3 linked regions of the Mus musculus genome follow. The protein of the gene in region 1 purifies or fractionates together with the protein of each later gene. This does not show direct contact. Links are inferred from orthologs where the notes say so. Each region holds a gene or a part of one and is shown in the gene's direction. Other genes may lie near its edges.

Evidence for each region. Proteins that work in one complex are often made in the same cells at the same time.
Region 2: the proteins of Pds5a (region 1) and Smc1a purify together in Homo sapiens (co-immunoprecipitation; 8 studies listed by BioGRID and IntAct, with this or other methods). This does not show direct contact. The link is inferred for Mus musculus from reciprocal best matches to the Homo sapiens genes PDS5A and SMC1A.
Region 3: the proteins of Pds5a (region 1) and Cdca5 purify together in Homo sapiens (affinity purification with mass spectrometry; 4 studies listed by BioGRID and IntAct, with this or other methods). This does not show direct contact. The link is inferred for Mus musculus from reciprocal best matches to the Homo sapiens genes PDS5A and CDCA5.

What each region holds. Positions count from the first base shown.
Region 1 is NC_000071.6:65,695,432-65,699,658, reverse strand, and holds the start of Pds5a (sister chromatid cohesion protein PDS5 homolog A), read left to right. Parts: upstream 1-1,422; 5' UTR 1,423-1,909; intron 1,910-2,721; 5' UTR 2,722-2,761; coding exon 2,762-2,896; intron 2,897-4,227. UniProt on the Homo sapiens protein: Probable regulator of sister chromatid cohesion in mitosis which may stabilize cohesin complex association with chromatin. May couple sister chromatid cohesion during mitosis to DNA replication.
Region 2 is NC_000086.7:152,015,172-152,019,232, forward strand, and holds the start of Smc1a (structural maintenance of chromosomes protein 1A), read left to right. Parts: upstream 1-1,256; 5' UTR 1,257-1,360; coding exon 1,361-1,469; intron 1,470-1,548; exon of another isoform or gene 1,549-1,715; intron 1,716-4,061. UniProt on the Homo sapiens protein: Involved in chromosome cohesion during cell cycle and in DNA repair. Central component of cohesin complex. The cohesin complex is required for the cohesion of sister chromatids after DNA replication.
Region 3 is NC_000085.6:6,083,839-6,087,901, forward strand, and holds the start of Cdca5 (sororin), read left to right. Parts: upstream 1-1,258; 5' UTR 1,259-1,324; coding exon 1,325-1,370; intron 1,371-1,559; coding exon 1,560-1,651; intron 1,652-2,563; coding exon 2,564-2,629; intron 2,630-2,713; coding exon 2,714-2,749; intron 2,750-4,063. Other genes in the region: Zfpl1 (zinc finger protein-like 1), read right to left, coding at 111-222, 514-615. UniProt on the Homo sapiens protein: Regulator of sister chromatid cohesion in mitosis stabilizing cohesin complex association with chromatin. May antagonize the action of WAPL which stimulates cohesin dissociation from chromatin.

The sequences.
Region 1 (4,227 bases):
TACTGGAAATCTTGAGTTCAAAAAAATCCTCTTGCCTAAATCTTTTGATTTAGCTGCAACCATAGGCCAGTTAAAAGGTGGGCATTTTAAAGAACAATGTATAAATTCAATTGCTGCCAGCTTCTTCTTTCTGTTTTTTTGAGATAGGGTTTCCCTGGCCATCCTGGAACTTACTCTGTAGACCAGGCTAGCCTCGAAATCAAAGATTTGCCTGCCTCTGCCTCCCGTTGAAAGGCGTGAACCATAACGGCCTAGCTTCTTCCTCTTTTCATTATTATTATTAATATTTTTTACTTTTTTTGAGACAGGGGTTCTTTGTTGCCCTGGCTGTCTGACGTCCTGGAGCTAGCTCGATTGACCAGGGTGCCTTGAACTCAAGAGATCCGCTTGCCTCTATCTCCCAAATGCTAGGATTAAGGGCGTGCACCACCATCACCCCCTTCTGCTTATTGTTTTTGTTTTTTTGAGACGGTTCTCTGTGTAGCCCTGGCTGTCCCTGGCTGTCCGGGAACTCACTCTGTAGACCAGGCTGGCTTCGAACTCAGAAATCCGCCTGCCTTTGCCTCCCAAGTGCTGGGATTAAAGGCGTGTGCCACCACTGCCCGGCTTGCTTATTGTTTTAAAAGGTGGTTTCCTGAAATTATGTGTGTATTGTTCAGGTTCATTCGCTTCAATATTTACCTTAAATTGCTCAAGCACCGCTGCACTAAGTTTTCTTTGGCAAGCCTTTCCTTTGGAGGAGAGAAAAAGTAGAGCTTTGGTGTATTCACAACTTAAAAAAAAAAAAGAGGTCTCAGATTCACATAGGTAATTTGTAAATCTCTAAAAACACCCTCCCTCTTTCTTCTTCTGGGCTTCACTATCAGGAACCCTAGTCTGTGTTTTCAGCCTGTACCCAAAATGACTGGGAGGCCAGAAGCCCCGGCACCATAGCTTGAGATCGCATGCCAACTTCCTATTTTGCAGCTTTGAAAACCTTAATGGTAGGAGTCTAACTAAGGTCGTAGGCTGCGACCTAGGGCGACTCTCCGGAAGACGCGAGAATGAGCAGCCCGAGTTGTAAAACTTTGCCTCGGCTTCCAGAGCTCTGTTTGGAGGGGAAAGCAGCCGTTTCTCCAGATAATTAACCATTTCTCCACCGGTCCGGTCACATCCCCGCCAGCCAAGCCTTCAAGAGCCCCGGACTCCGCGACAGCGGTGGCCGGGAGTGTCGCAAAGCCGCGCCTCCCGGGGTCCGCTTCCCGCCACCGGGGCTCCTCCTCCGCGCGCCGGCTCGGCTGCCGGCCCCCCGGAGGCGCCCGCGCGGGCAGGTCTTGGCGCCAAACGGGTGGCGGCGCTGTCCACCACGCGCGCGGCCGCGTCGGGCTCGAGGGAGGCGGGGGCTCGGCCGGCGGAAGAAGGGGCGGGAGCGAGGCGCGCGGTGCTCTCGCGGGCTCTCGCGCCGCTCGCGTGACGGGCTCCGGCTGTGCGCGGCGACGCTCAGGCTCCGCGGGGCACGGGCGGGCCGGGAGCGCGCCGCGGCGAGAGGGCGTCTGGTGCGGGTGGGCGCGAGGTGCGGGCGGCCGGCCGGCGAGCGAGCGAGCGGCCGGGCGGGCGCGGGGGACGCGCGGGCGTGCACCCGCGCGCGGGCTCTCGGAGGAGCCGCGGCCGAGGCTGCGCTTCCTCAGCCCGACGGAGAGCGGCAGTGTCGCCCCGGCCGGCGCACGCTCGGCCCGCTTCTCCCCCCGCGGCGGCTGCTCCTCGGCACCGCCAGCCCCAGCGCCGCTCCGGGGCGGGCGGGCGGCGGCGGCGGCGGCGGCGGGACGGACGGAGCCGCTTTGTGTGCAGCCCGACGAGGGGCGGCGGCGGCGGCGCAACCACCTGACAGAGGCCCGGCGCTCGCTGCACCGTCCGCCCGCATGAGGAGGAGGTAAAGCGGCGGCCGGGCTCGCGCCCTCGGCGGCGAGGGAGGGACGGAAGGGGAGACCGCAGGGGAGGGCGCGCGCGGAGGCCCGGCGGGGTTGCCCGGAGCGGCGGCTCAGGCCTTGGCGGTGCCGAGGAGCGCCGGGCGACCGAGGGGCTTGAGATGCCGCCGGGCTCGGTTGCTGAAGTTAAGGAACAAAAATGTGAAGTGCGGAGCCGGGTCCTTCGCTTCCTGGCGAGGGGCTCGGGCGGCTGGCGGGGGTGGCGGGCTGGCCGGGGAGGGGCGGCCGCGCGGCGGGGACGCCGGGAGCCCGGGGCTCGGCACGGCTATGGCGTTCTGCTCCCGGGCGCCGGCGCCGCGCGTGGGTCCTCTTGGGTACCTAGTTTTGCGGCCTAAGCTGAACCCTCTAGGCCTCGAGTCTCCTTTCCCGGAGGTGACCGGCCAGGCGGGGACCCAGCCGCTTCTCCTGAGCCAAGTGGGGCCGTTGGGTCCTCAATGTCCCCCCGAGGCCACCAAACTTCCGTCCTAGGTGCTCGGGGATACATTTCATTGTGAAAAGAGGGCTAGGAAACTCCGGGAGCTGCTCGGCGCCTCTCGCGGCCGGGGCTGCTGCAGCCGAGAACCCCGTGGCACCGGGGCTGGCTCGGGTGGGGGTGGCGGACGCCTAGCCGGGTCCGAAACCCAGGGAAGGAGCGAGTGGCGGGGTCCCCGGCCTCGGGGGGAAGAAAGGGCCCTTTCTAGATTAGAGATTTTTGAAATGAAAAAGAGGTTACAAAGTCGCCCCTTTTCCCGCTGAACTTTGATTTTCTGACCGATAGAGGCCGGTAGAGGACTGTGAGAGAAAAGTTATTCCCCAGGATGGACTTCACGCAGCCGAAGCCTGCCACTGCCCTCTGTGGCGTCGTGAGTGCGGACGGGAAGATCGCTTACCCTCCGGGAGTAAAAGAGATCACCGACAAGATCACCACCGATGAAATGATCAAACGTCTGAAGGTAAGGGTCTGGGTCGGCGATCTGCGCTCTGGATGGCTTTTGTGACTCGTGTGGTTTCATTGGACTACTCTCAACCTGGCCTTTGGAGTTTTTAGTACTAAGTTTTTGAAGATATCTTAACCGCCCCGGAAAAGTCCTGTTCTAACTTGGCGGTATCTTTGGATAAGTTCTGAAAGGACGGGGAATTTAAAGAGTGTGATCATTTTCTGTCCATAAGAACGCATGCATGGTTAGTTGTTTCCCTTGTGGTTATTTTATTTAGTGGATGTTGTTTAAGGGGCTCGATACCCTGAGGTGTAGACAGTGATTTTACCCACGAAAGTTCCTATTATTATCTACTCCAAGAAAAGACTGACTTGAGCACAAACAACCATATTGTCCCCCTTAGATTCTCGTAATTTTCTAATGGGAGCTTAACTATCTATACAGTGGGCTAAACTTAATACAGTGTACAGATTTTTCAGAATTCGAGCTTAAGGAGAAATGATGATTTTAGTACACATGCCCAAGAGAGTTGAAGGACGGGATTGTTGATATGTCTGTGAGTTTGTGTTTGTGTGTGCGCACCGGTTTTCTTGGTGTAACAATCTTGCGCTGTCATTTTGGGACTTAACTTTTCTGCTACTGCATAGGGCAGTGTTTGTTATGGAATCAGTTTCGAGCAGTGATTGTCACTTTGGACAACTTTGATGCACCAGGGGGTGTTGTAGGCAATTTCAGAGTCATTTTGGTTGTCACAGTTGGCTTGTGGGGAGTAGGCTGTGACGTTCTGTGAGGAGGCTAACAGTTGTCTAGTGAAAGATCTTAAACTATTGAAGTACAGTGTGGACAGTGGGAGAGGCAAAGAATGGGTTTGATGACTTGTTTAAGAGAGGACTAGTGGGCTGGAGAGATGGCTCAGCAGTTAAGAGCACTGACTGCTCTTCCAGAGGTCCTGAGTTCAATTCCCAGCAACCACATGGTGGCTCACAACCATCTGTAATGGGATCTGATGGCCCTTTCTGGTGTGTCTGAAGACAGCTACAGTGTGCTCATATAAGTAAAATAAATCTTTAAAAAAAAAAAAAAAAAGAGGACTAGTAACCCAGCTGCCTGCCCTTGAACTTAACCATTTTCCTGCCTCCACTTCCCAAAACACTAGTGGCATAACCACACCCTGCCAACAACAGTGGTTCTCAACCTGTGAGTCGAGACCCCCCCCCAACTATCTGATATCCTGTCTATTAGGTATTAACACTGTAATTCATAACAGTAGCAAAATTACAGTTATGAAGTAGCAATGCAATTATTTTGTTTGAGGTCACCACAACATGAGGAAGCAATAGGAAGGT
Region 2 (4,061 bases), on another chromosome or scaffold:
CTGTGGAAACCACCAGACTCTTTCCATATCTAACTGAAAATGGCACTAACCCCGGCCTATAAAGACAATCTGTTGTCACAATAGGGGGATGATTCAGTAGACATCCTGGGCTGCTAAGATCATGACTATAAGGTGATAGAAGGGGAATGAAAGAATGAAGAAAAAGGGGATGGAAAAGAATTGGAGAAGGACAGGGTATAAAGGAGAGAGAGGAGAGAGGAAGAGAGGGGGGAGAGAGGAGAAAAAGAGGGAGGGAGAGGGAAGGAGGGGAGAGAGAGGGGGGAGAGGGAGAGAAAGAGGGAGGGAGAGAGAGAGGTGAAGAGGTGGAAATGGGGGAAACTTGATGTAATGGAGGGAAAAGGACAGAGTTGGAGCGAGAGAGGGAGGGAGGAGAGAGGGAGAGGGAAGGAGAGGAGAGAGAGGGGAGGGGGAGAGGAAGGGAGAGAGGAGAGAGAAAGAGAAAGGGAGGGAGAGAGGAGAGAAAGGGGGAGGGAAAGAGACAGAGGGGAAGTGGTGGAAATGGGGGAAACTTGATTTAACAGGGAGGGAAAAGGACAGAGCTGGAGCACTGGCTTAAGGACCTGGACTCCTAGTGTTCACACAAGATACCTTTCTCAGTACAGAATTCCAGTTTTGAAGCTCGAAAATGGATTGGACCCAAGTTGACTCTTGGATTTACAACGGCAGTCTTTAAATTCTGCTTGGAGAAATAAGAGAGAAGCAGACGATAGGGGCAGTATTTCAGAACACAGCCTTTCCCAACTTGTATCTCTGTTGTCTAAGAGATACTCTCATCGTCCTCACACTCTAAGCTCGCCTCATCTAAGTCCTCCCTTTGATCCCTCTTCCATCCCAAACTGCCCACCCTTCCGAGGGCGCCTTCCCATTCCCGACTGAATCCTTGGCTGAAGCGCTTCTCCCCGTCTCCCCCCTTGCTGGCTAGACTACAAACCCCAGCCGAGCTTCTGCCTCCCACTAGCTCTGGCAGAACCTTGAAGTGACTTCTTTCCCAGCAAGCGTGGGCTCAGACCCCGCCTGCTTGCTCTGATTTCCCCCGAAGTGATCAGAGCACTAACGCTTCCCGTCCTAGTTGGCGGCCACTTCAACAGTTGCTGGGTAACTACGTAGAGGGGCGGGGCCTGAGCGCCCAGCGCGTGCTCCAGCCGGGCAACAATTCAACAAAAGCGCTATTTCAGGCGGAAGTGACCATTTCTGGCCCCGGAAACAGGAAATCGTGATTGGCTTGGACTTATTATCGCGAGGCTTACTGTACACCCGGCTTGCACTGCGCTATTTCCCGCGCGGGCTAACCTCGTTCCCAGGAGTAAGGCGCGGCCTTTCCTACGCCAGCGCCGCTGTCATGGGTTTCCTGAAACTGATTGAGATCGAGAACTTTAAATCGTACAAGGGTCGACAGATTATCGGACCATTTCAGAGGTTTACCGCCATCATTGGACCCAATGGCTCTGGTGAGATTAAAACCGGCTGTGGCCCTGCGCGCGTCCCGGTCCGGTTCCCCCTGCTTGTCTGCAAAGTAGTACAACCTACCCCCATGCAACCCGAGACATTGTGAACCCTGAAATGTTCCTTGATCCTCTTGGTGGGGCTTGGATCTGAACTTGCTTTCCCTTTTGGCATACACTGAACTCGAGTCTCTTCCCAACTGTCAGTTGGCGGAGTTCGGCGCAGACCCCCTCTGGCCCGAATGGTATGGGCCGAACCGTGCGTCGCCCCGCCCACTACCCCTCCCGCCAAAAGAGGCGTTCCCGAAATTTGCTGCCAGTTGTTTGGCCCGCGGCTTCCTTCCGGTCTGCATTGTTCCACCTTCCTAAACTTGTTTGACACCTCTGGGAAAATTTGGGAACCGTAACTCTGCTTTGGCGTCCGATCCCAAGCTGTGTACTTTGTGCTCTACTCAGCCCTCCCCGCACCCGCACCTCCCGATGGAACGCTCCACTCTGATTCCTTTCCCCCCCCCCCTCTCTGCTGTGGCACTTTTGAATTTCTGACCCAGCGTTCCGCTCAGCAGCGTGGGATTGCGATGCCCCCCACCCCTCCGCATGCCCCCCACACGCCTAAGAGATTGTTGCTTTGATTTGCCTTTTTCCTACCAGAAAACCGTAAATAAGCCTGAACTTGTTCGCTTGCCAAATTGGTGGAGGGTTTGGGGTTTTATCAGTTAAGTTTATGCGGGGAGAGCAAATCCGAGATCGCGGGAAAGGAGAAGCAAAGTACAAAATAAGATAACACTTAGGCCATTATAAATGTTTTGTAGAAAAGGGGTTAGGCTGATAAGTTAGAGTGACTTTGATAGTAACCCTACTTTTTCATACTTAAGCCTACTATTTCATATCTTAGTTTTTGCTGTATAGCTCGTAGTTTCCTCTCACCCATCTCTAGAAGTATTCGTTATGAATCTTTGCTGTGTTCCTCCACTCCAGAGATATTCTAGTTTACTCATTTTCTAGCCTGCTAGGCCACCCTTACCTTGAAGTAGCTCATAGCGAATACCTTCACTGGACTCTTGCTTGCGGTTTTGTTCTCTGTCTAGAGCATTGTTTCCTAACACTAGCTCTTTAGCCACACACTTTCTCTGTGCGGTTGGTTCTGTGCATTGTAGAATGTTTAGCTGTTTTCCTGACCTCTCTCCACTAAATGACAGCACCTCCACTCCCCTGAAATGCCCATCAAAAATGTGTTCGGACAATGTCAGAGTTTGGAGTGCGGGTGGGGGTGGTAATGACGGGTTACTTACTTCCCCTACTACGGTTTAAGAACCACTGGCCTAGAGGGTTGATGCTTTGAGTTCCACTAAATTTCTTAGGATTTTGGTCTTGTGACTCTTGTAGAAAATGCTTGGTTGTACCACTTGTTGAAATCGAGTTCTCTCAGCGTTGTTAGAATTAAAAATCCAGCTGTTTGGAACAGGCCTGGGTTCTTACCTCTCTATTTTTTGAGGGGGAGGGGTTGCCAGACAGGGCTTCTCTGTGTAGTCTTGACTGTCCTGGAACTTCCTCTGTAGACCAAGGTGGCCTCCATCCCACAGAGATCCACTTGCCTCTGCCTCCCTAGTGCTGGGATTAAAGGTGTGTGCCACCACTGTCCCACCTTTTGTTTGTTTGTTTGTTTTGGAGATAATTTCTTATGGCCTCAAACTCTTAAATCCTCTTGCCCCTACCTCCCAAGTGCTAGATTTATAGCTGTGTTTTACCACACCTGCTTTCTGCCTCTGCATACCCTTCAAAGCTTGGCACCATGAAGCATTTTTTGATCTCTGATTCCCACTTTGTAAATTTATTTTTGGTTACACATTTATGGTACATTTTTTTTCATCTTCATCACTAGTGCATGAGTGTTCTCAAGATGCCATTCCTTGAGATGTTTTATTGGTATATAGTTATTGTTAACATTTGCATTAGAAGAATCTTTCCAACACTTAATGACTATAGTAAAAGAGGATTGTACTTGTGAGATGTGATCCTTGAAAATCAAGGGAGAAGTCCAAAGATTGGAAATTGGTGGTTACAAGACTAATTCCAATTTATGTGATTTACTAGCTCTGCTGCAACTGGAGAGAGAGTTGACTCCAGATTGAATACTGATAGATGTGCCACTTATTGAGCACCAAGTAGATCTTGGGTTTTTGTTGTTCGTTTGTTTTTAAGATAGGATCTCATATCCCAGCCTGGTTTCAAATCTGACTTTCTGATCTTCCTGCCTCCATCTTCAGAGTGCTGGAATTACAAGTGTGTACTTCCACACCTGGTTTACTTGAGAGTTTGGGTTTGAGCTGAAGGTCTTGTGCGTGCCTGGCGAGCACACTCTCAGCTGGGTCAAGTCCCCAGCCCCACGAGGTTTATTTTTTAAGGTTTTAACAAACGAGTAGCAGAATGAAGGACTTTGGGCTTGAAGCCTGATGATACGGAGACTGTTTTGTCATCCTGTCAGTTGAAGTAAAGGACTCGCTGACAGTTTTAACTTAAGGAATGACTAGGTTTCTTCCGCTTTAAAGCAGAGGAAATACCTGTTTCCTAAGGCTTTTGGATAAGCTAAATTGGGTA
Region 3 (4,063 bases), on another chromosome or scaffold:
GCTCTGACCTCCACGCTTGAGGGACTCACTGTCTTGCTTCTTGAAAGATGCTATCAAACCTGTATCCAAGCTGGATCCTGGGGCTGCCCTGACCCCTTCCCAGGCCTCACCATAGCAAACAAGACGGGTGGTCTCCCGACTGGCCAGGGGTGTGTTGCACAGGCGGCAATTGGGGTTGTAGTCACTATCTTGTAGCCACTGCAAGTAGGACTGCACGATGCACTGGAGTGGGAGAGAGATGTCACAACTGGTGCCCCAGGCTCCACGATGCACACACCACTCCAAGGCTCAAATGCCTCGTTTTCTCTCATCAGACTCATCATTTCATCTGTTCCATTTATTGAGTGACCATTTATTGAGCAGCTACTGAAGGCATAGCAGAGCGCATCACACCCCATGTTCTTGCCCTTGTGGAGCTTACAGTCTAGCATAGGTCCCCACATGGATTTAGAAGTAGGCAATCTTGTCTGCCCACCCACCCGCCCTGCTCAGACACTGCTCTAAACGCCCCACCTTGGCGTGATTGGCTACTAGGCAGTGCTCGCAGACGTTAACTCGGTGTTCGAAGCAGAACAGGTTCGTCACCTTCCTCTTGGGGCACTTGCAAAGTCCCATGACCGATCCTGGAGGGTGTGGTGGGGTGAAATCAGTTAGCAGGAAGCCAGGTTTTGGTGGCTGCCAGTTTGTTTTCACCAACCCAGTTCTCTTCTTTTAAATCTCTCAGTCCCGTCTCACACCAGTCCCAACACCAAATTCTAGCATAATGCCTTAGCATGGGTAAAGCCACGTCTCCTGTACAGATCGTACCACAAACGACCGACCCTTCATTCCATCAAGACCCAGGAAGGCCCTCGCCAGATCTCTGCACAGCTCCAATACCACCAGCCCCGCCCCCAAGACCCACCCCCTCTTGACCCGCCCCCAGCTGGCCGACCACATTCTGGATGTCCGCGAACCTCCGCGATGCCGATCGTGACCGGTGCGTACGGTAATGAAAAGCGCGGAAGGCCGGGGACTGAGCTCACCAACTCCGGTAGCTGCAGCTCCGCTCCCTTCAGGTCCGGCCTGATTATCCCTCCGCTGCCACGTCTCTTCCGGGTGCGGCGCACGCTGATGACGCCACAGCGCCGCAGGATACGCCTCTGCCTTTTGCTAGCTAGACGTAAAGCCTGTGACAACAAAAGCGGATGGTCCGCCTCCGGCCTGTGTCACTTCCGCTTTCTCGCTAGCAAGGCGGGCAATTTGAACGTTTGAAGCAGCAAAGTTCCCGGTTGGCGCGAGCCTGAGTAGGCGACCGCGGCGGAGACTGAGCCCGACCGTACACATGGCGGAGCGGCGAACACGATCAGGAGGGGCTGCCCAGCGGTCTGGTGAGCACGGGAGCAGTGGAGCGGGGTTGTTTGGGGAACAAAACTTGGCTCCCGGTGGAAGACGCCCCAAAGGGGTAGTTGGAAAACGACTTTTGCTTTTCCGAACTCGTCAAGCATCTTGTTTCGTTTGTTTGTCGCCTTTTCTTCGAGCAAAGTTTTGCTCACCATCAAACGTGTTTTCCTTTCCAGGGCCCAGGACTTCACTTACTAAGCCTTCGAAGTCGTCCAAGCGGAAATCTGGCTCAGATCTCCCGAACTCGTTCTCTGAAATCTGGCCGAGGGTGAGTTCCTGGTCCCCCAGGTGTTGGGGTTGGGTTTGTGCGCTGCGTATTCAGATGCTAATTTCTATGCCTAGGTATCCTTAGTCCGGCTAACTAGCACCTCCGGGCTCACTGTTGTTTTTTTTTTTTTAAATCATCTCTGATTGGTTGATAAAGAGCTGATCAGCCTATGGCTGGGCAGGAGAGGACAGAGGAGGCGGGACATCAGCGCCCATTGAGGCGTCCGGAAGAGTCTAGGGAGAGAGAAGTGGGAGAGGGGGAGGCGCGGAGAGAGCAGGTGGTTTCACTCTAAGGTCAAGAGGAGGGAGAGAGCAGTCATGAGGGCACACATGGACCAGATTGAGTCAGAGTAAGACTGAGATTCAGGTAGAGGACCGTGTGACTGGTAGATAGGCAGCCTGAGAGGGTTAGAGTAGCTCAGAACCTGCCCAACATAGTGCCAGCAGCCTTTGAATAACAGCTCTGTGTCCTTTACTCAGGAGGTAGTGGCGTTGGGGGGAAGAAATGCCCTGCAGTTATTTGGGAGCAAGGGAGTCAAAAAACTCCCGCCCAATGCTTCCACAGTTGGTGCCCAACATGGTGCAAGAACTTACAAACTTAGAACCAGGCTTAGAGGCTGAGAAGTCTTGGATAGAAGATAAGGAAAACTTTTCTCAGCAACACCCCCAAAGTACTTTTTTTTTTTTTCCTCGAGACAACGTTTCTCTGTATAGCCCTGGCTGTCCTGGAACTCACTTACTTAGTAGACCTGGCCGGCTTCGAACTCAAAGATCCACCTTCCTCTGCCTCCCAAGTGCTGGGATTAAAGGCGTGCACCACCACTGCCCGGCTCCCAAAGTACTTTTACACTGACCTAGAGGGCTTTGAACTATTGTAAAGCTCATGGATAATACTTTCTTTTACCCCCCCCAGACAACTCCAGCGGTCCCAGTCAGAAAGGCCATCGTCTTGAAGAAGATCGTAGCTCATGCAGTAGAGGTGAGGGGCTGAGAGAAGGCTTTGGGAGTGAGATGTCAAAACTGGGCTTAGCTATTGATTGATCAGTTGATGTCATCCCTACAGGTCCCAGATGTCCACACGGTTCGAAGAAGTCCTAGGGTGAGTTCAGTTCTGTTTATTTCTGTTTATTTGTGTAGGATTTACCCTTAGAGGGTAGGCATACACTTCTACCCAGGCAACTGCTTCATGGCTTGTCAGTTTAGGTCTCAGTGTATAACACTGTTTCCTGAACTGGAAGTTACGGTAGACCAGACTGGCCTCAAATTCATAGAGATCCACCTGCACCAGTCTCTGCAGATAGATTCAAATCTTAGAGATGGGCATGCTACCAGGACTGACTGTAGTTACCAGTCTTGTTTCCTGCCTATGGGTGTCATTCATTTCTTTTTTTTTTTGGGTTTTTTTGTTTTGTTTTGTTTTGTTCCCCAGAGCTGAAAACCACTGAGCTAAATCCCCAACCCCAACCCCTCATTTCTAGTTCTTTATGCTCTGAACATTCTCACTATTTTTCTTAAAAAGTTATGGTTTAACCACTGGGCTTCTGTAGACTGTTTTGCCACTGTTTTGTTGTGATGTTGTGATGGCGCACGCCTTTAGTCGCAAGATTTGGGAGGCAGAGGCAGGCGGATCTCGGAGTTTTAGGCCAGCCTGGTCCACAGAGTGATAAGGTTGTTTTGCTGAGTGTTTATTTATGTTTTGTTTGTTTGTTTGTTTGTTTTATGGTTATAGAATGAGTTATGTGTAGGGGCTGGAAAGATGGTTCTGGGTAAAAGCAGTTTTCAGATTCCATCAGATGGACCCTACACACCTACAGCTTCAGTTTGAGAGTATCCAACGCCCTCTTCCGGACACATGCATACGCAGTGTAAAAGGTGCTGGGTGCTGGTGCACACCTTTAATTCCAGCACTCAGAAGGCAGAGGCAAGTGGATCTCTTTTGACTTATAGGCTAGCTTGGTCTACAGAGTGAGTTCCAAGACAGCCAGGGTTACCTGTGGCCAAGCCTGGCCCTGAATTTAGTATGTGCGTAAAGCTGGTTTTGAATTCCTGATTTTTCAATCTCCCAAGTGTACCCAGTGGTGCTTTGCTCTCTGACCAGGGTTGTGTTGCTGGCTGGCTTTGGTACTCTTCCTGCCTGGTATTTCTCAGTGTCCTGGGAATTGCAGACGTGAGGCAAATTGCCAGTTTGATTTGTTATTCTGATGTGTGTGGTGCTGGAGATCTATCCCAGGGCAGTACTAAGCAGGTACCCTGCTGTTGAGATAATCCCAGCCATCTTGTGATGGTGGAGGTGGGTTTTCAAGTCCTAGAACTTGCTTTGAAGACCAGGCAGGCCTCAAACTCACCGAGATTCAACCCCCACCCTAGTGCTAGGGTTAAAGGCATGCACTACCCCACCTAGCTTCCCAACCAG